Oreochromis niloticus: one gene and its partners. The protein of the gene in region 2 purifies or fractionates together with the protein of the main gene of each other region. This does not show direct contact. Links are inferred from orthologs where the notes say so. Each region holds a gene or a part of one and is shown on either strand. Other genes may lie near its edges.

Region 1 (8,330 bases), on a different chromosome or scaffold from region 2:
CTGAGTGATGTTCTAACATCTCAAACGGCCTGTTTTAATGAATGCTGATGTTAAAATTTGGCATAAAGATCCTGCACAGGTAATCTTTAAAACATGTCCTCAGTGGAAGCAAATCTGACGTGAAACCTTCAGGCCGAAGCTGACATGCATCTTGAATCAGCACTTCGTCCTGCTCCGTCATGTTTTCAAATGATGACACATGGCTAACAAGCAAAGAGCAAGAGTCTGAACTTTGTGCTGCTGCTGCACTTCCACCCAAAGCTGTCAGTCTGTCCTCTGCTGACTCCTCCACTCTGTCAGACATGCTGACTTCAGTTTAACTACACTACTTTGCAGATTTGACATGGACACTAGTTTTTCTTTCACTTTTTTAAATAGTTTTCTTATTATTCAAACTCTGCATGAGAATCAAGTCATTTAATGCTACAAAGGTTAACAGAGATGCCAACATGTCAAATACTGAGACAAAATAGGCTGGTTTGTTGAATTAAGTAAGTAAAACTTTATTTATATGGCACCTTTCTATAGATGAAAGATCACAAAGTGCTTCACACAAGGATAACAAAGTATAAAACAAAACAGACAACAGTTAACAAAATGCAATTCTAAAAAGATGTGTTTTTAGTTGTTTTTTGAAAGAAGCTACTGAGTCCAGAGATCTTATGCTCAGTGGGAGAGAGTTCCACAGTCTGGGAGCCACCGTGGCAAAAGCTCTGTCTCCCTTAGTTCTCAGCTTTGTATGATGAATGATAAGTAGACCCTGGTCACATGACTTAAGAGACCTCTATAAGTCAGTACCAGAATCTTTAAGTGGACTCTGAATTCGACGGGGAGCCAATGCAGCTGTATTAGCAACGGTGTCACATGTGAGTACTTCGATGTTTTGGTCAGAAGTCTTGCTGCAGCGTTTTGAACAATCTGCAGACGCTCCAGAGAAATTTTGTTTAAACATGTAAACAGTGAATTACAGCAGTCCAGTCTTGATGACATGAAAGCATGAATGACAATCTCCAGTTCAGTGCGAGCAACAATGGGGCTTAGTTTGGAAATGTTTCTTAAGTGATAAAAGCAGGACTGAACCAAAGATTTGACGTGAACATCCAAAGTGAGAGCTGTGAGAGCCATTTAATGCCATAGTTTTGTTAAACCCCTTAAATTAAAGCTGGAAGTGTGAAGAAATTATGTTCTTATTGATGCAACTTTGATAGCAAGGAGTTGATCAGCAACTTCATGTTTTATTTAAATGGCTGAAAGCTGCAATATTCATAGAGGAAGAAATCAATGGGAACTGTTCTTAAATAAGGAGCTGTATCAACCTGACTCGAATCATTTTCAAAAGATACTGAATGCTGCCTTACACATTCACATTTAATTGTTTTACAACCGATAAATATGAAAACACTTGTTTGTGTCTGAACTTGTTTTCATGGTGGCTCTGTGAATAAATGTGTGCTATAAACAGGTTAGCAGCACACACAGAGGCTGTTAAAATAAATAAATTAGTATTTCTAATTTTGAAAAACAGCAAGCATAATTGACTAACAGCACATTGATTTTTTTCCCCCCAATATACAGATAAACTGCAGTGAAAGAGCTCTGTTCCAACAACACATGGGCTGTCATGCTAAGTGTGGTGTGGAGGAGGTGAGATCGGGTGATGTGTTAATTTTTAACAGTTTGAGAGAAGATTCATCCTCTTAATGGAACTAGACATAACTTACAGTTCTAGCTCATTACAACTATCCTCTAAAATTAGATTAATTTAGTATCTAACTGTTATTTCTGATAATACAGCAGCCATTATTTAAACCAGTGCAATTTGTACAGAAGCAGTCGAGTATGAGGAGTCAGATTACCGTCTTCTGCCTGTGCATGCACTCGTAGAAGTCCTCAAACTCCAGCTGGCACTCCTTCTTGGCACGGGTCTGCCCGATGCCATGAGAACATTCGATCCACTCCTTCTCGAAGGCGTGGCAGCGTGCCGCCCGCTTGTTGGGCTGCTCTCCGCTCTGCAGCAGCAGCCAGCGGTCCAAGTTGATACCGAGCCGCGACTGCAGGTCCACGAACGGCATGATGCTGAACGAGGAAAGGCACAGGACCGAAAGTGATTAAAGTGAGGCAGGACAGGGCAAATTTTAAGTTTTTAATATAAAATGAAACTTAACAAATTAAAACTGGAATTTGTAAGCTGGTCTAACAGAACTCTATACATATCAGTAACTGTAATCACTAATTAGCTTATATCAGTATAAGTATACAGGTACTTGGATCTACAGTATTTTATATCTATAAAGGCAGAAGTAAGGATTTTAATAAAAACTGAGCACTCATGAGTTTTTAAATGTAGTTCAAGACATTCTGAAATGTATTTTTTTTTCTCTACACAAGAAATAATAAAAAGCAGAAGAACAATCAAAAAAAACTTCTTCTGGCCACTGTAGTCTTTAAACATCTGCCACTATAAGAGCACTACCATGAAGTACAGCCCCATTTAAAGGAGGACAGTAATTCAAGTAATTTGAGAATTTTTATTTCTATATCAACAACATCAAAATAAAAAGCTGTCTACTTAACTTTTAGTGTTTCGTCAAGTTTTAAACAGTGGATTATCTCTCTCTCTCACCCTACCTCTAGCAACCTCCTCTACATGTCTTCTCTTCCTGCCTGGGAGCGCCATTTTCAACATTCTTTGACCAATAAATCCAGTGTCTCTTCTCTGCACATGCCCAAACCATCTCAGCCTTGCTTCTCTGTCCAGACTGATCAAACTGATCTGTCCCTCTGATGTACTCATTTCTAAACTTAACATCTTCAACTCGACCACCTGTCACCATCTTCAAGTCACACACAGCAGGTCTCACTACATCTTGCAAACGGTCCTCTTCACTCTTTCTATCACAAATCACCCCCGACATTCATCTCCAGTCACTCCACCCTGCCCACCTTAAAATTATAAATGTAGTGTGGCTCAAACTTTTTAAAAAAATCTGGTTTAATAAACTACAGGAAAATAAACAGACTTTTGCTGAGTAAAGCAGCTCAGACTCACTGCCTACACTACAAGCAGACTAATCATCCTTACATCTCCACAGAGCCATGGAAAAAATCTGGACTGTTAGTGAACGACAAACGAACGATTATAACTTCATATTTTAAAAATATTAAAAAATAAAATAAATTAAAATCTTCGTATCTGTAATTAACGATAACAAATGTATGAAGTAGTTCTGGCTGTTGAAGTGAATCCGTCACATTTTGTGAATATAAACTGCTGTTGAAATTATCCTTCAATGACAGCCAGCCATGCTAATCACAGGCCGCGTTTATTTCACAATATTTGCGCACTAACGCAATTTTCAAACTTCATATAAAATCTGCGATGTAGCAAACACGTCCACAGCCTGCTTACGTGTCGCTAATTCTCGTTAAATGTTTGTATTTACCGTGTTTTCTTCGAGGCGTTTTAACCTTCCTCCGACTCTGCACGCCCCGCTTTACGGCTGCTGAACAAAAACACTGCCGTAAAGTGATCGACTGGGGTGGAAACACATCTGCCCTTCTTTTGCACCACTGCCATCTGCTGGTGTGGCCTCAAAAGTACAGTTACATTTTAGTTAGCAATTTAACAAAGCTGTGTTGAATCAGCAAGTTTAGCGATTTTTCAGAATAAATTCGATGAATTTGATAAAGTATAATATTAGCACATGATAAAGTATAATAAAGATAATAATCCTAATGCAATGTTGCTTTTGAGAGAAGTATAGAGAAGATTATGAGAAGTTACACTGTTTCTCTGTGGCTCTAGATAAAGCATATGATAGGGTTACAAGAGAGAATGAAGCTGCATAAGGAAGTAAGGAGTGGCAGAGAAATATGTGAGGCTGGTGCAGGATGTGAATGAGGACAGTGAGACAGTGGTCAGGTGAGTGGTAAGAGTTATAGATGAGTTCAAGGTGGGGGTGAGATTTTGGTTTGCAGTGGTGAGGGACAGGCTGACAGATAAGATCAGGCAGGAGGCACCGTGGACTGAGAATAGGGAGCAGGTGGAAGAGAGCCTGGAGAGGTGGAGGTTTGCTCTGGAGAGAAGAAGAACAGTGAAAGCCATTAGAAGCAAGACAGCATACGTGTCTATGAATGAGAGGAAGACAGATATAACAGGAGATGCAAGGAGAATGAGTAGATGAAGGTAGATGAGTTTAAATACCTGGGGTCAATCATCCAAAGCAACCAATAATGCACAAGAGAGATGAAGAAGAAAGTGTAGGGTGGAGTCGATGGAGATGAGTCTCAGGGGTGATTTGTACAGAAAGACAGCTGCAAGAGTGAAAGCAAAGGTTCAAGGGAGGGAGACCTGCTGTGATGTACAGCAGGGACGTCAAACTTACAGCCCAAGTGGGTCGTACCAGTGAAACTGAACTTTCTGTCAGTAAAAGCAAGTTTAACTAGAGAATTAGCTGAGCTATCTTAATATGAGAAAAAAACCCCACACAACTGTATAACAGTATTTCTTAGTTTTTCTACATAATAAAGAAATATGGTAAATGAAATAAATGTGTCAGCACAGCTCTTTAGGCTTAAATTGTAAGAAATAAATGCATAAAATGACAGAAATAGTTATGGGAGCTCATTGCCCAGATTGCACTTTAATTATAATTATAGTTTCTGGAAATACACAGAAGATTTCCTCGTTTTTGAAACTTTGGACTCATTGTGGGAAAACAGAACTTTTTATAGCCGATAATGATCTGTTGCTTAATTACTTTAGTGTAGTAGGAATGGGCGTGGGTTACGTCTCCTTATCAACAAGAAAAGCTGTAAAACTTAAAATAAAGGCTGAAATCTGCCCTCCTTTACAATTTTCAAAGCCGTCCAGTGGGTCAGATTGGAGTCTTCGTCAGGCCGAGTTTGGCCCCCGGGCCTTATATTTGACATCCCCGATTTACGATTTGGACAATATAAAGGCAGGATGGGGAGCTCAAGGTGCCAGAGCTGAAGATGGTGAAATTATAGTTGGCTTGATCAGAATGGACAGGATTAGAAACAAGTATATCAGAGACAAAGTTAGAGAGTCAAGTGCATTTGAATAGCAGCACCTGGGTACTTATCTTAGTCACATGGTAGCAGCAAGCATGAGCTTATTTGCACACTGTTTCTGCATTTTGGCTTAATTTATAAAATAAATAATGACAGGATATAATATGTCATGTGTTGCTTGTTTGAAGTTGTATTTAATGATTTTAAGACCTGCTGAGGATCAGATGATATTTTATTATGTCTGATATGTAAATCTTAAGAAAAGCCACAAAAGTTCTTTAGTGATTTCACGTCTGACACATTTATAAAATAAGTTCATTTGCTCTAATCGATTCTAATTCATAACAGATCAACAACAAGTCACTGCATTGGTGCAACATCAGTTTGTGTTTATTTATTTTGTCCCCAAAGGTCCACAAGTTGTCTTTCACAGTCCTGCATGTCCATCCCCACACAATTTCGGGGCTTTTAACAGTGACAGGAAATACACAAACAGTATAATAACACGTAAATATTGCTATCTATAAATGCTAACCCTTTCAAATAAGATCAGGACCACCTATATCCATCCTTTAACACTCATTTAGACTCTTTCAGGAAGTTGGGGTTTCCATCCGTGGTACATTCATGTGGTTTCTCAGAGGCAGGCAGGCAAAAACTAGTGATAAGTGTAGACCAAACAAAGCACTGCCAAATCACATAAGCAGCTAAATCCATAAAGCTACTCTGAGATGAAAAAGGCTCCCGGGTTGATTCCTCACAGGTTCAAGGAAAAACCTGATGGGGAAACCTTTTGTTTTTCTTTCTTTTTTTTCTTCTTTTGTTTAGAAAACAGAAGCACAGAGGTGATACAAAGCTAAGAAACAAGTCAAGCTATGATTAAGAAAAGCTTATCGGCATCAGTATTTAAAGTGTTTGGCTCCAAAAGTCACAATGACTTGTATGAATGATTAGAACAACATAAATTACAGAATATAAAAAAAAGAAACAAAAAAATTACAGTATTTTCATCACAAAATTGATTAAAAACACCTTAAATGTCATTGAAGTTAAAAATACTGAATGACAAATATGACAATGAATATATTTTTTTTGTTTTTTTTTTGGAGCCAAACTCTTCTTTAGTTACATCCAACATAAAAGGCCCTCTGGTAGGTGATTTATTTTGGTTGTACCACAGACTGAAGTAAACTCACTTTATCGCAACAGATGATGAATAGCAAAAAAAAAGAAAAGATAAATACAATAATTCAGATAAAGTGCACAAGTGCTCATTCAAAAAAATAAAATAAAATAAAAGTGGGACGCACATATACATTCATCGGGAGTTCATTCACACAGACGCACAACACACAACATTCAAGTGGGCCCGACAGCCAGTTAACACGTCAGAAACCAAAACCTCCCAAACGGGTGTGTGCTGTTGTGTTGGTCAGCGAGTGTCGATAAGGCAGGCAGACAGCCAATTGTAAAACACTAACTTGGTCATGTGACATACCTCAGAACCACACGGTGACAGAGTTCTGACAGCGACAGGAGAACGCCTTTTCAGGTCAAGTGTCTGAAGTGAAGTGAAGGTGAAGTCTTACCGATTAATAAAGTTATTTAATCCTTTTTAGGTAAAAAACCCCCCAAAAAAGTTCATATTATTTTGTGCCAGCTTTGACGCCGTGGCGTTCTGCTGTTAGCTAGCTGCTAGCAGAATGTTAGCTGGAATTGCTTCGCCGCATTAGCATGTGTAATAGAGACAACTGATCATTGAATAGGCAGCCTGGAAGCAACTGTATCGCTTTCTGCATTAATGTAGGTTATAAATAAATGTAACTGAAAAAAAAAGGAAACCAGCAGGACTTTTTTGTTTTTCCATTTTTACGATACATTCCTGCCTATAAAAAAGCTTCACAGAGCTTTATTCATGAAATGTTCAATGCTTGTTTAGTGCTGATTTGTGGAAAGCAGACAAACCTTCACACTGGGCTGTCTTTTTTTTCTCGCCGTGCTTTTCACAGTACTTCCAGGATCTGTCATGGCATTGTCAGAACTCTGTCGTTTACTTCTGTAGCAGTGACCCTTATTTTTTATTTTTTTTAATCTCTATGTCCATTCTCCTCCTCCTCCTCCTCCCTCTCCTCCTCTGTGCAGTGAAAGCGAGATTCAAGTGCAGCTTCATCCTCCAAAGTAAACTTTAACTTTCACAAGTGTAACAGAAACTTGCCGCCCTTTTACAACCGTCCACACAAGGAATGGCTCATGCAGACTCATGCACACCGCAAATAATACAATTTCAAGGTCGTCCGAATATAAATAGAGGAAAACTGTCAAAATAAAGCCACAATAACTGAGTACGAAGTCCACATTCATTCACACGTTTTTAAAAACACCCTCCTCATCCTCGGCAAGCCTCCTCTGCTTTCCCAGCAATCACCATCTCTCTGCTGTGCTTGGTGACGTTTCACCGTATTTCATAATTTCAGTTCCCGTGGAAAATTTGTACCTCTTGTTTTTTTTTCTTGCTCTCTCTTTTTTTTTCCTTTTTTCTTTTTTTTGCTTAAGTAGCCAAGGCATTTTGCACCAAGGAGTAAACATAAATCATCATCTTATAAATCTCAGAGGTAGAACCCTGACAATTTGCTCAGAGAGTAGATTGGCAGGTAGAAAGAGAAGACAGACAGACCAACGTAAACAGATGCTGTCTGTGTTTAAGACGGTGTCTGTGAGTCGCAAAAGCAGCAAACGAGAGATGACACGAGGAAAAAAAAAAAGCTGTGACAAGTTTAAATGTAAATGTTCGGGGTTGTTTCTGTGCAATCCTGAGAGCTGCTTTTCTCTCAGACGTAGAGGATGACGTTGCTGTCTGCAGGACAGTGAAGGCCTTCGGTGGAGGGGTTCACAGCTCGGCACGAGGGGGGCTGAGGCTGCTGGCCGGCCGCCGGGTGACAGCTTTTCGGGTGAGGAGAGTCGCAGTCGTCCGACGTCAGCTCTGCGATGTCGTCTGACTGAGTGTCTGACATCTCCAGGTCGCTGCGGATGCTCTCCGGCTGAGCCAGGGTGACGTCTCTGAGCCCCTCCCTGATTGACGTTCCTGGTGACAGCCCCAGTGCTGAGCCAGACAACGCCCCGCCCCTTCTGGAGCTGCAGTCCTGAGGCTCCTCCCCTCCTGAGGCGGTCGCCATGGCAGCACAGCCCGGATGCGGGGTTAAGTCCTCTTCGCTGGTCAGGCAGAGATGGCTGGGTTTGGTCTCAATGTCCACCTGGATCTCCAGGTTGGTGCACTCCCTGCAGAGTCACATGATTTA
Region 2 (8,786 bases):
GGAGTATATCCCATCTCACAGAGGGTATCAGGCGAGTTACAAGCCAAACAGGTCACCAGTCTATCGCAGAGCTGGCACAGAGACAGACAACTGCACCCACGCGTGCGTGCTCATATCGACACCTACAGACAAATTAAAATCACTAAATAACCCAACATGCATGTCTTTGGACTGTGGGAGGGAGCCAGAGTACCCACAGAGAACCCACACTGGTCGAGAAAATGCAAACTCCACACAGGAAGGGCCCAGCTGGCTGTCAGAATCTGCTGGAGGTGACAGGCTTAATCACTACACTCCCATCACGGTTGTTATACTGATTTATTTATTTATTTATTTTTAAATCTATCCATATAACTGCTCCGTTATTCAAACAAGCTTAAGTAAAGCCAACAACTAATAACTTATAGTCCTAAAGTATACATTAACTTAATGCATCTGTGAAAACAATCAAAAGGTCTGATTTGTTAAGATGACACACTACAAAAACATGTTCTTTTCAAAAACACCAGACTCTGTTGACAAAAACAACAACTTTTATTTCACAGAAAACAAAAGTTGGAGGTCACACTGCGTGAATTAAGTGTTGTAATGTGTTATGTGGGATCAAAACTCATCGACTAAAAATTCAAAGTCTCACAATAACACAAACTAACAAAGCAGCCATTGCAGCAGTGGTCAAATAACTCCTGTCTTGTGTGAAGTAAAATTACTATTTTTGTTAATGGAATCTGGTGGAGAGTAACAGCTTCATTTCTTTTTCAGTGAAAGCTGTACTTTCAGGTGGCTAAAATTCATGTCGCTGCTGACTGTGTCCACAGCAGTACATGGATTTTAGTTTTTACTCCTGTGGATCTGAACCTCATACAGGCTTACTTCAAAGAAACTGAACCATCCCTACCTAACAGAACATAAACCAGCGGCTTTTAACACTGCCTATGAAATAATGTGCTTGTGTGAATGGGTGTGAATGGATGTTAATGGGTGAATGTGGCATGTTGTATAAAGTAGAGATGGCACGATACCACTTTTTTATGTCCGATACCGATACCGATATCATAAATTTGGATATCTGCCGATACCGATATGAATCCGATATTGTGTGTTTTTCAATCAATAAAACTGTTTTTTTTAATATCTTGCTGCATTTTGTATAAGTTCATACTCAAGTTTAAATAAACAACAACACTAAAGCTATTCTGTTATACCTGTATGTAAAAAATACACTGCACCCAAAATATTTCATAGTTCAGCAACACTGATCAATCTAATAAACCTTACCTAACTTAAACCTACTCCATCCTCCCTATTCTGGTATTTTAAAGAGTACTTAGCAGAAATATTAAGCAACCTAACTAATAGGGTTGCAAACTCCCAGCAAAAAAAAAAAAAAAAAAAAAAAAAAATAGGGAACCACCCACCCTCCACCTCATGATGCTTAATTGATGTAATCAACTTTAATTTGATGCAGGGTGAAAAAAAATGCACAGAAACAAATTATTTTTCAAGAATAATTAAATAGATTCAACATCTTTCTTCAACAGAATTGCAGAATTCACAGATGGTACCTTCCCAAAGGAAAAAGTACTATAGCTTACTAGGGTATATAGACTTAACAGTTACTATATATAGTAATGGACTTCTATACATTTTACATCAGATTAAAACTTTGGGTGTAAGATTCAGATAATTATTTATTAAAAGCTACGTATTTTAAATGAGAATAAGAAAGAAAAGTATGTCTTTGTGCCCCCTTTTCCCTGTTCGGACCGATACCGATACGTAATATCGGATCGGTCCATCTCTAGTATAAAGCGGTTTGAGTGTTCTGTCAGAGTAGAAAACCGCTATATAATAATCAGTCCATTTACCATATAAAATACAGAGATATGCAGGCCTTGTAAATATCTTGTATTTGCATTCAGCATAAAAATATAGATTTGTTTTTCTTTTGTCCATATTGCTCAGCCCTTAATGTTCAATTTACAGAAATAAACCCCAAGGGGGGAAAATCATTGCTCCAATTAATAAATTTGCACACTCTCTCTATGATGATAAACTAAGCTTACTCACATATGCCACGCCACCAATGGAGGCTGCTCCAACCAGGAGGGCATACTTTAGATTATCCCCACCTCCCCCTGGCAGCCCACTGGACATGTGAGCTGTGGGTACGTGTGTTGGTATTCTGCCATTGTTCAAACCTGAAACAGTAAACAAACACACACATGATTAAACACCGATCAAAGCTACAGCACTCCTAATTATGTTCACAAACGTTACTAAATCAGGGTTCAGTCCTGCTTCTAATAAAAAAAAATTGCCAAGTAGCTACCTGTTTAATACACGCTTAATAGATCTGTGGATGTTGACAGTGGAAAAGGACTGAGGAAATATATGCTCCTGTGCTTGCCCTCATCACACCTCTGGGGTTTAGGAAAGCGCCTTAAATTACTTTTCCATAAAATAGAGGCAATGGCAAACCTGTCTGATTTGTGTTGCAGGTGTTTTTCCACTCTAAGAGTAATAAACATAACGTGACATATTATTATGAAGAACAATGATCATCAATGTACATTCTAGCAACCTACATACTGCACAGCACTGGGCTTATCCTTTCTGGGTCATCAGAGACTGCAAGACCCCATGATTCAAATCCAACACTGGGCCCTTGCATACGCTGCAAAGCGTAAACGGGCACAGAACATGGTGTAACACCTGTACCAGCACTAGACACGTGAAAAACATGCTTGCTGGCGTTATCAGTTAACGTTGGCGCTTCGATCAATGAAATGAGATCCAGTTTAAGTTAGCTCGTTACTGAAATGGCATCTTGCGTCGTTAACGTTCGCTAATTAGCTGAGTTAGCTTTCTAATAACCATCCAAAGGTCGCTGAAGTTTACGTGCGCTAAGCTAACAGGGCTACCCCCCTGTGGGTTAATGTATTACTGCTGTGTAATATCATGCTCCAGGCAGTGCATGATCAAATCGAGGTCAGCTAACAGGAAGACAAGTTACTGTAACTAGATACTTACCTGCTTTTCTCACATTCTGCCGGCACAGAGTTGATGAAGTTCTAGCCAAAGGAGCGAGCTTTTTCCACACAGTCCTACATTTCAGCATTGTGGCTCAGCTCCCGGTTTACTCGCAGACTTGTCGGATAAAAACACAAGCCGGTTTACCCTTAATTTAATTCCAACAGCCTGCAGACACTGACAACTAGCTGCACGGCACCACACACCAAGGCCAGGGACAGGTCATACGTTTCTGGGGAATGACGGGTAATTGTAAAGACTGTAAAGACGCCTAAGATTGGTCGCCCCTAAAAAAGAAGAAGAAGAAAGATGGCGTCGCTCCGGACATGAATGACCGCAACTCTGTTATCGCAAGTAGCAGCTACACTGAACTCTTTCATTCAAGGCTCTTTGGTAACTGCTCGAACCCCCTTCTTGTTCCTTTCTTAAAACAACTGCAGTCAGAGTTTACTGCTGCCCCCTGCAGGTCATTTAAAGTAATACTACAGTAAAATGTTGAAAAACGGTTTTAAGTTATGAAAACACAAAATGAGGTTGTGTATTCATGCAAAACACATTTAAACATATTAATGAATATCATTTATATATTATTAACGCAGTTAATGACTTAAAGAATTTCAAGAAATAAAAATCTTTTTAATATAATGTGCTGTAATGAATGTATGAAGGTTTATTGTAAGTTATATAAATAAATCTTCATTGAATTTTTACTGTCATAATTTACGAGTGGTAGGCTAGATTTCTAGAAATTAGTTTTATCACCCTCTGGTGGTTGAATAGAATAGAATAGAATAGAATAGAATAGAATAGAATAGCCCTTTATTGTCACTGTTCAACGAAATTGTGGGTGCTCCACGCCAACTGTGCCAAAATAAAATATAAATAGTAAGACAGCAGGAATGAATAACAAACAGGAGAAATATGTACAAAAATAAGAGTAAGGTACAGATTAGATAACAAGTTGGAAGTAGTGCAAAGAAAAAGATTTGGTCTGAATACTGTCTGTGTATGAGTGGCCTAAGTGAAGACTGTTACTCAGATTGGTGGGTGAGTAGGCGGGGGCAAGGGTGGGTGTGAGGAGATAGTGTTTGTTTACAGTCCGAATGGCCCAGGGCAAGAAGCTGTTTGTGAGTCTGGAGGTGTAGGACCTGATTGACCAGAGGGCAGCGGATCAAACAGGTGGTGGGTGGGGTGCAAGGGTTGACGTGTGATAGCCCTGGTTTTCCTGAGACAGGAGGATCTGGCAATGGCCTCCATTTTTGGGCAGTGTTAATTACAGTTCTGGCCTTCCTGTTCTCAGTTGTGGTCCCTATGTACCAAACACCCGGGCAGTAGGAGAGCATGCTGAGGAGCAGTGGATGGCCAGCAGCAGCTTCTGGTCCAGGTTGTTCTTCCTCAGGACACGGAGGAAGTGCAGCTGCTGCTGGGGCTTCTTTTCCAGGGCATTGGTGTTGTGGGTCCAGGTGAGTAAAATGGATTTATTCTGTTTATAGGAATGCTATAGTCAGCCATCAGCTACATAATGGTGATTTTGAAAGACTTTGTCATTTGCACATTTCAAAGCTGGCTGGTAAATTATAAGGCAAGGAAATACCTTTGTGTTGGATAATAAGGATTGATGTACTTCCTTTTTTTGAGAAGAAAGCCTAAATAAGCAATGGTGGGTTGCTCTTTTTACTGGCAAGAGAAGTTACTACTTCCCTAATATAATAAAAGATCATTTAGTAAAAAACGAGCCTCTGTTGCTTTGTTTGTATGTATGTGTGTGTATGTAACATAATAAAGTCAGAACATTTCACACAAATTACAGGCCTTCTAAATATAACCCTGCTACCACAAATACAAATACACAAATGTCAAAAAAGATATGGTGGTACTTTATAACATAGCTTGCAATGTAAAGTGTAATTTCCTAATGTGTAGCATGTTTTTTGATTTCAGATTGCAATTTTCCCCACTCAAAATGACCAGTTTAGCTAGATTGTCTTCTTAGGTAGCATCCTCTTTTTTCCTGCCATGCACCATCAATGTTAATAATAATATTTAGTAAGATTAATACAACTACTGCACATGTGCATTCAAAATGACAACCCTAGGTGAACCACGGGAATTGATGTATGATAATAAACTGATTGCATAAAACCTTTTAAAAAAGTTATGACATGAATACTGCTGCATCACAATCCTGCTGTATTCATGTATTTACCAATATGTTGCAGAGGTATTTTTTACAGTTTTGTTTTTTTTTAATGTATTTTGGCCACTGAGGATCAGTATTTCTTGATTTTTATGCAGTAACATCACAGTTTTACACAGGTTGTGGTTTGGTGATGCCATGGAAGTGCACATTGAGTGGGATTCTCTTCAGCCCTGATCCTCCTTAACCCCAGAAGCTGCTCTGAAACTTCATTAGAGGAGGACATGATCCCCTTTTCTGTCATTTCACCTGTTTAAATTCAGGAACACTTTGAAAATGGAAAGAACTAAAGAAATTCCAAACTCTTAAAAGTCCCAGATGCATTTTCCAGCATCAGTTTAATATGATGGACACTTTTATGAGGAGTTCACAGCTGTTTGTGAAGCTTGGTAAAATATACCCTATTGTTTTGTGATAGCCTTATTTGTGTCATTTTAATTTAGGATATATTTCAATATGATATCAATAGATTTGATAGTACTGTAAATTGAAAGTTCCCTTTGGCTTCATGTGCTCAGAGTGTCTCATTCTCTTACTCCTCCTGCTTAAGACTCTGGTCCTAGGTGTGAATATTATTGTTGCATGTTCGGATATCCTCTTCTTCAAGACCCAGATAATGATTCTAGGTGTAAATCCCAACAAGCTTTGCCCAGGTTATCTAAAAGGAGAGGCACTCAGCGAGCGAATATCAGATCGAAATAAATCTGTGAAAACACAAGGAGGAAACACTTCATCTCAGGCTCATGTGACAATCACAGCCGCAGAGGAAATTTATTCTTGTAAAAACACTGATAAACTTCAAAGCTTTATTCCTTTTTAGATCATAACCAGCAGGAGTAGAGGCAGACACACACAGGATTATTTATTGACTGATTTTTATTCACTTATGATGATGAAGATTATTATATATTATTACTCTTCATTTCAAAGGTAAGGAAAGGACAAAGAAGAAGAGATAGAGGGATAATGAAGGTAGTAAGAGAGTAAGAGAAGGTGAAGTGGAGGGCCAGGGGAGAGAAGGTGGTAGAGGGAGGATGGAGAAGGGAGGATGAAAGGGGGGAGAAACAGGAAGTGGATTAAAGGTGGAGTGGTGAAGGTAGAGAAGATAAAGGGAAAGTGGAAAAAGGGGAGAGGAAGAGGAAGAGGAAGCTATCGCTCTCCCTGAGTTGAACCATCAGTATCCTGTAAGTTTGTGTAACTAGTAGATGTTTTTTCTTTTGGAAGCAGCTCTTGTTCTTGACTTTCTTGTCCTGCTCGTTTGTCTTCTTTTTCACCTGCTTCTTCTTCTTCTTCCCCCATCCTTCTGTGACAGTTCAGTGTCTACCATCTGTCTTTATCCCCATCATGTCAATCGTCTCATCTTTGAGTGCTTTACTGACCTTTAACAATTAATTTTCCAGTCCCCTTGTCTTCTCTTCCAGTGCTTTCTGGACTTCCAACAATTCCTTCTTTGCATTTTGAATTTCTTTTTTTGCCTCTTGCGTTGCCCTTTTCTCTTCCTTTAGCACTCTCTGGACTTCCAACAAGTCTTTACGTTTTCAAGTTTCTTCTCTGTTTTGTGCATTTTTGCTTTTTCTCCTCTTTCAGTGATTTTCAGGTTTGTTCTTAATCCTCAGCTTATCCAACTCCTCTTTGTAGGATGCTGTGACTTTGCTGAGTTTGTCACCTTGTTCTCCTCCAGGTTACTGGTTGGTCTTTTGGCCTGCAGACTTTAATGGTCTGTGCTGCTCTTTGTGCATGCTATCTAGAGAAGTTCAGAGCAACAGATGGGGTTTCTGGTTTTAGTCTCTGTTGAGATGCTGGTACTCCTCTCTCCGAGATGATTGCAAACAGTCTTGGACAAAAATAGAAGCATAATAACCAAACACAAGAGAAAAACATAAAATTGTTGGAATAGTGGATACAGAGGAAAACTGAAGTTACTGAGGTAACTGTAGTTCTGTGGATTCCTGGATGACTGCCAGTGAAAGTAAACAAAGTGGATGTGTGTTCTCACGCGCTATGCAGGTTGAGATCTCATAAACAAAGTCACGTGTATGACATGTGGACTACCTTTGCTCATATGCTGTAATGCTTTGAATTCTGACTGTAAAGGCCTTTACGCACTGCAAGTGTAAAATCTGTGCAAAAATTTCATGTGTTAAAAATATGTTTTGGACTCATGTATTCTTATATATTCTCATGTATTCTTAATGCAGCCATTCACCCCGACCAAGTAATTTCACTAGACAAATCTGCAGCATTAAAATAATACTATTTTTACCTTAGACACTGCTCTGGGTCATTTGGCTCTATGCAATGATTTCTCTGCTTCCTCAGATGTGTTGCCCACTCTGCCAGCAAGACCTCAAACTGATGCCGGATGTCAGTGATACAGCTTCAACTCCTGGATCAAACCATGAAATTCTCTCTGCTGCTGTCTTCTTTGACAACTGGATGAACCCAGAATCTCAGTTTTTTCCTTTTCTTGTTTGGAAACGAGAAAAGTGCTCATCAGCACTTGATGTCAACTTCATTTTTTTCACAGTGAGTTTTTGAGGATACATTTTCTGCAGAAACACAGCACGTTTGGTGCATGTGTGTAATAAATTTGCATCCAAACAAAACTAGACTACTAAACTAGACAACATATATACATTCCACCACTCAGTGCTCTCAGAATATTAGCAGAGGTTCCTCTTAACAATCTCTGTTCAAACACAGCTAGCTATTCGAAGATAATCATTTGAATTAAGTGTTTTGGAGCAGGGAAGCACCTAAAAATCTGAAACAAGCAGCCCCAAAGACCATAATTTAGGATTAATACCCTAAGGAGAGTGGTCTAACTACATAATATTGCCCTGAGGCAAGCGCTATTTTGTCTAGGATTATGCTTTCCACATCGAGGAACCTGCTAGGGACCGAGTAAATTTCATCATCAGACGGTGAGCATGTGGCTCCCTGCAGGTCTATATGTATATATATTTAGAAAATATATTTATTTCAACTTTAACACGTAAAAAAAAAACGATATTAGCATTAGCATTTGCAGCACCTGAAAGCACCCTGCAGGTCAACTGTCAAACTCTCTTCTTCTCCTCTTCATTTTACGCAACATTAATGTGTCTTGTGGCATTAAATAAAAATAAATAATAATATTTTTTAAGGGACACTAACCAGAAATTTGGTTTGCTGCCTGAGGGCTACACCATACCACAGAAGGATAACACATTAGCGGATAGCACGGCTACAAGGTTAGCTAGCCGCTGGCTTCGCTAACTAGCAAAACGCAGTTACTCTTCACATACAGGAGCCTAAACCTTCTTTTAACCTGCTGCCTCACTGCAGTTCCCCAACCAGCATCATTAGTTATAACCGAATGTGATTTTTAACACATGGACTCCATTTAACTTTTCCTACAGCAGCATACAGAAGAGGCTGGACATATTTTTTTTCCCTCTCTGACAGGAACTGTGGATTGACTGAACAGCCTCAAATTAATTTGCTAGTTTTGAGCAAAATTACTGATATTATTATATTTATATATTGGTATTATTTTAAGTAGTTTATATACAGG
Region 3 (8,220 bases), on a different chromosome or scaffold from region 2:
AATATTTACACCTGGACACCAGCACCTAGGCTACTGTACAGGAAGCCAAGCGGTCATAGCGAATAAAACAGGCCAGGATATTTATTGTACAACCGTGAGCTCCCGGGCAAACTAGTGGGAAAGAAGTAAGAAAGTTCCCAAGTCAAGAGTGGCCAACAGGATGAGGTAATTACGTAGGTTGGAGAGGCGAAGGGGGAGGGGAGACCTGTTGCAAATAAGCGTCTCCAGACTAAACAAAAGAATCCAGGGCTGCCTGCTCCTTTGTAGCGTTTCAAAAGTTTCTGCTCGCAAACAGCGACTTTGGCGCAAACTTTCCACCAGCCGAAATACGTCGCTTCCACAGAAAGGCCAGAAAAAAGACATTTTAACCCGAGAAATACGACAGTTTTTCTAAGTTTGAACAACTTGTAAGAGGGTTCTTTTGTGTGTGTGTGCGCGAGCGAGCGAGCTGCACCACGAGGTCCATGAATGTAACAAGGCGAGAGCAAGTTCCCACAATGAGGTCAGGATGAACATTAGCCTACATTTGGATTTTGGTCATATTTTCAAGGCGCTGGGGGCTGTTTCCGTTCGCTGTTCGTGACTAAAAAGATACAAAATATCGAGTTGGGGTTTTTTTTTTTTAAAGCTTACAGGCTGCCAAAATGTAACAACCCCTGAAGTCACAACAGTCGCACAACTTTTGACTAGTATCGACTATCACCACTTATCAAGAAACAAAAAAACTTCTTCACAAAAGTAGCTTAAATGAGGTTTCCACCCAAACAGAAAAAAAGCGAAAGCGTCTTTTAAATCATTCTGAAAGTTGTCCCAGTTTATACCGCGACTAGGACAACAACACACATGGCGACACAATCGTGCGTTAGCCTATTGTGTGAAAACTTGAATAAAGCACATTTAGATAACCTAAAACGGTGGCTAAACCTTGCTATTGTCGACTTTTGACATCGCGCCAACACATGGCAGAAAAAGCCCCCCTGTCACGTCTGGAAAGGAAACAATAGACTGCATGGTTTGCATATGAGGGAAACGGTTCTGTTACTCATTCTTTAACGCCGTCTCCGTCTAAAGTCGTTTCTTTTTTCTTCCCTTCTACTTTAATGTTATAAAAAAAATCCCACCTACCCTTTTTGGTCTTCATCTTGAAAAATGCCCGCTTATTCCTCGGCAAGCGGAGAAGACAAATTCTCTGTCAGAGCTGTGTTTTTCCCCCTAGATATCCCCAGCGTGTATCCGAAATCTCGAAAATCCTTGTTCATTAAAAAAACAATGCTTCTTTTCTCCCGTTTTAGATGTTCTTCTCTCTTCTAGTCGTCCTTCTTTGGAGACTTGAGGTGGCAGGAGAGGGGGGGTTGTGGGTTACCTGAGATCTCTGCGTCCCTTTCTGCTCAAAGCCCCTTTTCTCATTGACTGTGTGTTTGATCCTGAAACTGGGTGACAGCTATCTTTGACAGCTGCGTGACTAAACGCAAAGATCCTCCCACCACCAGTGGAGAACAGGAAAAATCTCTGACATCAGCATGGCTTGTTCCACTGACATGAATACAGTCTTGCTGAGCTTTAACGGCTGCAGACCCTACTAATAAAGTGAATATATACATACATATACATATATATACATATATATATATTATACATACATATGTGTGTGTGTATGCAGAAAGCGTTGTTTAGGCGGGCAAGCAAAACGACAACAATAGCAGACTGGGGGAAAGCACTGCGGACCTCGTGGTAACACCTACAGATTAAAAATAACTAAACTAACCGCAGTAATTTAAAACATATATATAGCACATTATTGCTACAGGCTATGCCGCATATTTCCGAATGAGCGTCGGTGTGTTTTTGTGGTGCAAGCTTCATCGCCTTATCACAGTCTGTGGTTTATCACCTTTCATATCGCTTGTTTACATCGTGAAGAATTACCTTGACGTACTTCCAACAGTAATTCTTCTGCATGCGAGTGCTTTTTAACAATGTGGCTTCGTATAGGCTGCTGCAGTGTGTTACAATAGGGGGCTCGTGTTGTGTTTATGGTAATAGCAGCAAATCTCGTGTTTATACTACTGTGCATCCCCCTCCTCCTCCTCCTCCAGTGTTGTCACTGTAGTAGCCCATTCTTCTGTATCCCTATAGATACGCGTGAAACGTGTTTCTTATGCGATATCGATGTCACCCCGATTGAATTGTAAACATTATATAAGGAAAAGCTGCCGTAATTTCTCACAGGAATGAGGAAATGCTTAAAAATACAGTGTGGACATGGGTGTAGCTGCGGGATATATTGATCTAACCTTGCAGCAGCTGGAGGTTAGTGCACCAGCTCGGCTTACTAAAGACAACAGCAGCACTGCGAAGAAAACGATCAATGCCTTCATTTGTATGCGGTGCACAACCATGCGACAGCTGCTGTAGCATCGTTTCTTTGCATGCATTTGTTCCAGACATGCGTTCAAGTGCTCTTTGCGGAAGCTAAATGTCGCCTCCGCGTGCGCACAAGCGGAACTGTACGTGAATGCAACGCGGCGTGCAGACACGAGGTCCTCGGGGTCCCTCTGGTGGTGATTTAATTGCACTGCAATTCAGGCGAAAATAAGGAAGGAAAGAAATTGCTTTAAATGTGGAAATGTTATATAGTCAAAAAAAAAAAAAAAGAATTTCCACTGATTTTACAATAAATACAATGTACTTATATTTACCTACAAATAATTAGCGCTAGATACTCTAGAATAAGGGTGTGATGATTAAAAGCTTTTACAAAAGAGAAGAAATAATTGTAATATAAACAATTTTAAGTAGTGTGTAATTTCTGGGTGTTTTAGTGGAAAAACCAACAAAATTTCCACAGCTTACATCGTAAATACTCTGTACTTTTAGGCACGCAGGCCGTATTGTGTACTGGCTTTACTTTGACTTGTTACATTTCTATTATGCATTACATTGGTGTGCATATTCGACAAGTCCTCTTGTATTACATGTGACAATGTGATGAAGACTATTTCTCCCGTTCCTAAATAAAATTAAACACTAGCAAACACTGCAGGACGTCTGCCCATGTGATCTTATTATGATGAAGCAAAATCAAACCTTATTTTTTTTCTTGGAAATAATGTTCAACATACAACCAGAACTGTGAGAAAACAAAACAAGAAAAATGTATTAATGTGAAAGAAGAAAGACTCCCAAAGAATAATTTGGGTATTATTTATATTAAACACAAGAGAAATGACAATAAACTTTTCTTATTAGCTATGAACACTTTTATTTATGCTTTTCAGTTTTATTTCTCTTTGGCTCTTTTTCGTATTTTCTCTTTTCTGCTTTTTGGCCCTTTTATGATGAAGATGAATATGAGGAGAAACAGGACAGGTCATTGGCCCTTCTCTGATGCATCTTAAAATACCTGGAAATTATGTACTACATAAAATTACTTAGAGTATAATTTGTGTCTCCTTTCGTGTCAAATACACTAGCCAAAATGAATGTTTAATGTGTAATGATAGTATAATGATTGATGTAAATACTTGAATTATTACCTCCTTACTCTGTTGTATTTGTAGGTTAATGGAATTACATTGTAATTTCAGGTCAAATATATGGAAAGTCAAGGGGAATTTCACCCTTAGTCACAGGCTGTATTATAAAGTGTTATTATGTTTCAATATACTATTACAGCATATCAAAACAAAACAAAACAAAAATAAACAGTCAACTTTACTGATTATTAATGTTAATGTTTTGTTTTGTTTTTGTTGCTATAAATGAACACCCACTCACTGAAGTAATATCTTTATTAAGCTCTCACATTCTTATCAAACACAAGCAGCGTGAGTGTGTTTTCCAGCTCAGTCACTGTTAAAAATAGAGACGAGTAAGTTTGGCAGGCCAAAGCCACTACTGTCACATATTAGGTATGCTTCCCATCAGTTGTGACATTAAAATAGATCAAATGATTTCAAAACAATATTTATTGATTGGCTGATTTTTGTAATTAATAATAGCAGTAATATTAATAGTCATTTAGTCTGATAGACTAGCTGTACTTATGACTAATTTTGAACATTGAGCATTTCATGCTTTCTGTATAATCAACACATTTTGAGTCATTTCTTTTTTTAATATTTACACTTACTATGACGGGAATTCAGTGGTGATGTAAGACGACAAATAAAGCTCAGTGTTTGTTTTATACTTTCCAGACCGAGATAACACTTCACTTGTTTAATGAATGTTTTTATGTTTATTTTGAAGGATTAATAACAAGAGCCACATAACTCTGTTTAGAGGGAAAACAAATGTAAAACGCTGTGTTTAAAGAATAGACACGATAATTAGCTGAGCGGTAGCTCCGCTGCTTTACTGTTGTGTCACTCGACTCATTTGACTGTGACGCATCAAATCCTTCACATTTGTCCACGAGCGTCGCGGCTTCAGTCAGGACGACCGTGGAGAGCTGTGTGAAGTTACAGACAGCCACAGCTGTACAGGAAACTGGTGGGTTTTTCTTTCAAAATAAGATTGTTGTGGTTCAAATATGGTTCACAAAATGATGAGGCTCATTTTGTAATCTGGTAAATTGTTCCCATATCCGGGATTTATGGCGGACTGTGTTTTTCTTTTGTTTCAGTTCATTCGCAATAAATCAATAAATAAAAATCACAGGCCTAGTTACACTAAAACTTTGCGAACATCTGCTTTAATTAACGCTTTGATATTCTAAAGCGAGTAATTGGATGTGCTGTTTTTATTTAGATTACCATGTTATTTGACGTGATCATTTTATTTCAAGTCATCGTGTTAGTAAAGAGGAAGAACGTGTATTTGATGATTAGGTGGCTATTTGAATGAAAGCAACACCACAATTGAATTTTTTGAAAGTAGATTAAAACCCAGTAAACATGTGGTATTCCAAGTGAACTAGTTATGAGACTTCTTAAAACAGAAAAATAAAAAAGTTCACTATTTTGTAAGGATTTTTTTGCACTTTAAAGTTAAAGCATCTTTTCCTGTTTATCAGCATGAAACATTTTTTAAAAGTTTGTTTTTTTAAAGAAACTTTTGCTCATTGCTGTAAAACAGTAAAACATGATCTCGCATAACGAAGGCGCACGTGTGCGTAAACCATGAATTTTATTTTGAAATAATTCAACTGAAAAGTGTTTTTTGGTTTAGCTTCGTCGGACTTGATATTGTCGAAGAGGACTGGGTCCTGTTACAGTTTGGAGTCTAAAATTAGGGAGGCACCCCAACTGCAAATGACGCAAGAGGGCTAAACTGGACAGTCTAGTCGTCTCTGTGTGTCAATGACAGCGGGACTCAGGGCATGGAGACCTTCCCTACAACTTTGCTGTTGTTGATGACATGGAGAGTATTTTTAGCTATTGTTGTCATCTTTCCGTAACAGCCCAGCCGCGCCGTTCAGTATAAAGGACTCTTTCAAAATGCAGTTGTACAACAGTGTGCTGACACACTACCCGAGGTCGTCTCGCAAAGTTACAATAACTTTGTCGACCGCTTCTGCGCGTTTGAACGGGGCAAGTTCCTCTGAGGCTGACAGGCCGGGATTTACTCAACCAGACGCAACTTCGGCGACCAACAGTGATCCGGTGAGCGAGTCTGTGTCTTCCGCAAACATGCCTGCCTTGTCGTGTTACGAAGCTTCAACCATGAGGCCAATTTACTTCACCTCGACTGCTGAAATTTTAATCCGGAGACCTGATGGAGTGGAGAGGTCTGTGCCTGTGCATGTTATGAGGGAGTCCAAAGTCAAACCACCTTCCCCAGACTCTCATAACGGTGAAACTTTACTCTGTAATGACTGCGACTCTGATGTGATAGTGGACTTGATGGATCATTTGAGCAATGGGACAGATGAGCTTTTCCCAGACTGCCCAGAATTCACTGGAAATCAGCTTACCAACAGCAACAACACCAGTGGACCCAGAATAGAAGAATACAAGAGGATGGTGGAAACTTCAGGTGGGGATGATGGAATTTCACTGACTATTACCCCCTTCAGAAGCAAAGAGTGGGCCTCACTGAAAGACGAGGAGCTCGTTCCCCCCAAGGCAGTACAGCCTAAGGGTCTCATAAAAGAAGACTTTAGTTTAATGAACACGGCCAAAGCTGCTCCAGCATCAGAAGAGAGACGGGCGTTTGAGCTCAGTGTTCTGCAGGAGTCCCCTCCACAGAGAGTCCAGGAGAGAGGGGAGATCAACGACAAAGTCGCCCGATACCTGGCTGAAGTGGAAAAGCAAAATAAGTACCTCCAGGAGAGGCACAAATACAGGTATCAAATCATTCCAGATGGCAACTGTCTGTACAGGGCTGTGTCTAAAGCCACATACGGGGACCAGTCGAGACATGCAGAGCTGAGGGAGCAGACGGTGCACCACATCGCTGACCACCTTGATGAATTCAACCCTATCATTGAAGAGGATGTGGGGGAATTCCTGATCAATGCAGCGCAGGACGGCGCTTGGGCCGGTTACCCCGAGCTTCTCGCCATGAGCCAGATGCTGAATGTCAACATCCACCTCACAACAGGGGGCAGCTTGGAGAGTCCCACTGTCTCCACCATGGTGCACTTTCTTGGAGAGGAGGATCCTTCCAAACCGGCTATCTGGCTGAGTTGGCTGAGCAACGGTCACTATGACGTTCTCTTGGACAGGTGTCTGCCCAACCCAGAGTATGAGGACTGGTGCCGAAACTCGCAGATGCAAAAGAAACGGGACGAGGAACTGGCAAAGTCGATGGCAGCCTCATTATCCAAAATGTACATTGAGCAGAATGGGTCTGTGTAAATGAAATACAGCGCATTACAGAGGAATAGAGATGAATGGTTCTGCTTTGTTTCTACGTGCTTTAAATTATTATTTTTTAAGGATTTTTTAAGGAGCAAAAAGACGTGCAGTGCACATACTTTGGTTCATGTCTATGCCAGCGTTTTGAAATTAGCACTAGTTGTCTCCGAAAGAGTTTGACAGTGTGTGAGTCTGTTCTTGATAGTTTGGGTGATGCTGACACGAGTGAAATTCTCTAATGCCGTTCAGATGTGGCTGAGTGCTTTTGGAGTGTACTATTTTTATTTGCCCTCTCTCAGCTGACCAGTTATTATTATTTTTTTGTCGTGCTTCTCATGCTTTGGCAACTGCCCAATATTTTCAGACAAAGAGAAATCTGGTTTGCATTTTCCATGTGTTTAGCTACTCATTTGCACAAAATTCCTCTAAGAGTAGTTCACAGTTGGTTTGTGTCTGCGAGAATGATTCAACGGTTCATTTTCCATTATTCCAGTACTTTTTAGACATTTGACAAAGAATTTCAAAATAAAGTTAAGAAAAAACTAACTTGCAGTGGCTTCATTTTTAATTTACATGCTTGTTGTCCCGCTATTTGTTTATCGCCTACATTTTCATAAATGTGTTATTCAGCTTTAGCGATATCCACTGTTTCATCTTAGGTGTAAGGCCGTCCATAACCACCACATCACCACCACAGTTCATGCTGCAGTCATCCTCCACTCACCGGTGTCCTAAAGTGAAAAGTGATGTTGGGAATTTATTACATGTAGTGACCCTGCAGCCTCTCATTCAGGTCAGGCTGCAGAACTCGGTGTATTAAGGGACCACGGCTTCAATACACAGAGTACAAGGGAATGTGCTCTGTGTACTGAGCTACGTTAAAGCTTAAGTAAAGGGTGCACAGTCACGGTATAGGCCAAAATGTCATTTCTGCTGTAATTGTTTTGTTTTTTTTCAAACTGTAGATTCTGCTTGATTTCCTCCAAACTATATAAAAGGAAAGCAAACCACCCAAATACAGCTTGCAAATACTAAAAGCTAATCACAACATATGGATGTATTCATATTGTAATAATACTTTCCTTTTTGGCATTTCACATTAATGTCTGCTGTTCTGAATACACTCACCAGTCACATCATTAGCTACATCTGTTCAGATGCTCACGGATACAAATATCTAATTATCAGCACCTGAGTGCATTTAGGCATCTAGACATGATCAAAAACCTGCTGAAGTTCAAACTGAGCATCAGAATGGGTAGAAGTGTCTATGAACGTGGCATTGCTGTTGGTGCCAGAGTGGCTGCTCTCGGTATTTCAGACTTGCTTATCTAATGGGATGGGATCTCTGGGGCTTACAGAGAATGCTCTGGAAGAGAAAAAAGTCGAGTGGGTTTAAGTTCTCCAGCCAAAATAC

Evidence for each region.
Region 1: the proteins of aifm1 (region 2) and ndufs5 purify together in Homo sapiens (affinity purification with mass spectrometry; 3 studies listed by BioGRID and IntAct, with this or other methods). This does not show direct contact. The link is inferred for Oreochromis niloticus from reciprocal best matches to the Homo sapiens genes AIFM1 and NDUFS5.
Region 3: the proteins of aifm1 (region 2) and otud1 purify together in Homo sapiens (affinity purification with mass spectrometry; 3 studies listed by BioGRID, with this or other methods). This does not show direct contact. The link is inferred for Oreochromis niloticus from reciprocal best matches to the Homo sapiens genes AIFM1 and OTUD1.

The regions. Positions count from the first base shown.
Region 1 is NC_031985.2:10,022,285-10,030,614, forward strand, and holds the start of ndufs5 (NADH dehydrogenase [ubiquinone] iron-sulfur protein 5), read right to left. Parts: upstream 3,578-8,330; 5' UTR 3,444-3,577; intron 2,077-3,443; 5' UTR 2,073-2,076; coding exon 1,857-2,072; intron 1-1,856. Other genes in the region: E3 ubiquitin-protein ligase RNF19B, read right to left, coding at 7,863-8,310. UniProt on the Homo sapiens protein: Accessory subunit of the mitochondrial membrane respiratory chain NADH dehydrogenase (Complex I), that is believed not to be involved in catalysis. Complex I functions in the transfer of electrons from NADH to the respiratory chain.
Region 2 is NC_031975.2:7,202,952-7,211,737, reverse strand, and holds the start of aifm1 (apoptosis-inducing factor 1, mitochondrial), read right to left. Parts: upstream 3,409-8,786; 5' UTR 3,122-3,408; coding exon 3,034-3,121; intron 2,202-3,033; coding exon 2,071-2,201; intron 1-2,070. UniProt on the Homo sapiens protein: Functions both as NADH oxidoreductase and as regulator of apoptosis.
Region 3 is NC_031974.2:17,051,836-17,060,055, forward strand, and holds otud1 (OTU domain-containing protein 1), read left to right. Parts: upstream 1-4,396; 5' UTR 4,397-4,494; intron 4,495-5,172; 5' UTR 5,173-5,441; coding exon 5,442-6,803; 3' UTR 6,804-7,349; downstream 7,350-8,220. UniProt on the Homo sapiens protein: Deubiquitinating enzyme that specifically hydrolyzes 'Lys-63'-linked polyubiquitin to monoubiquitin.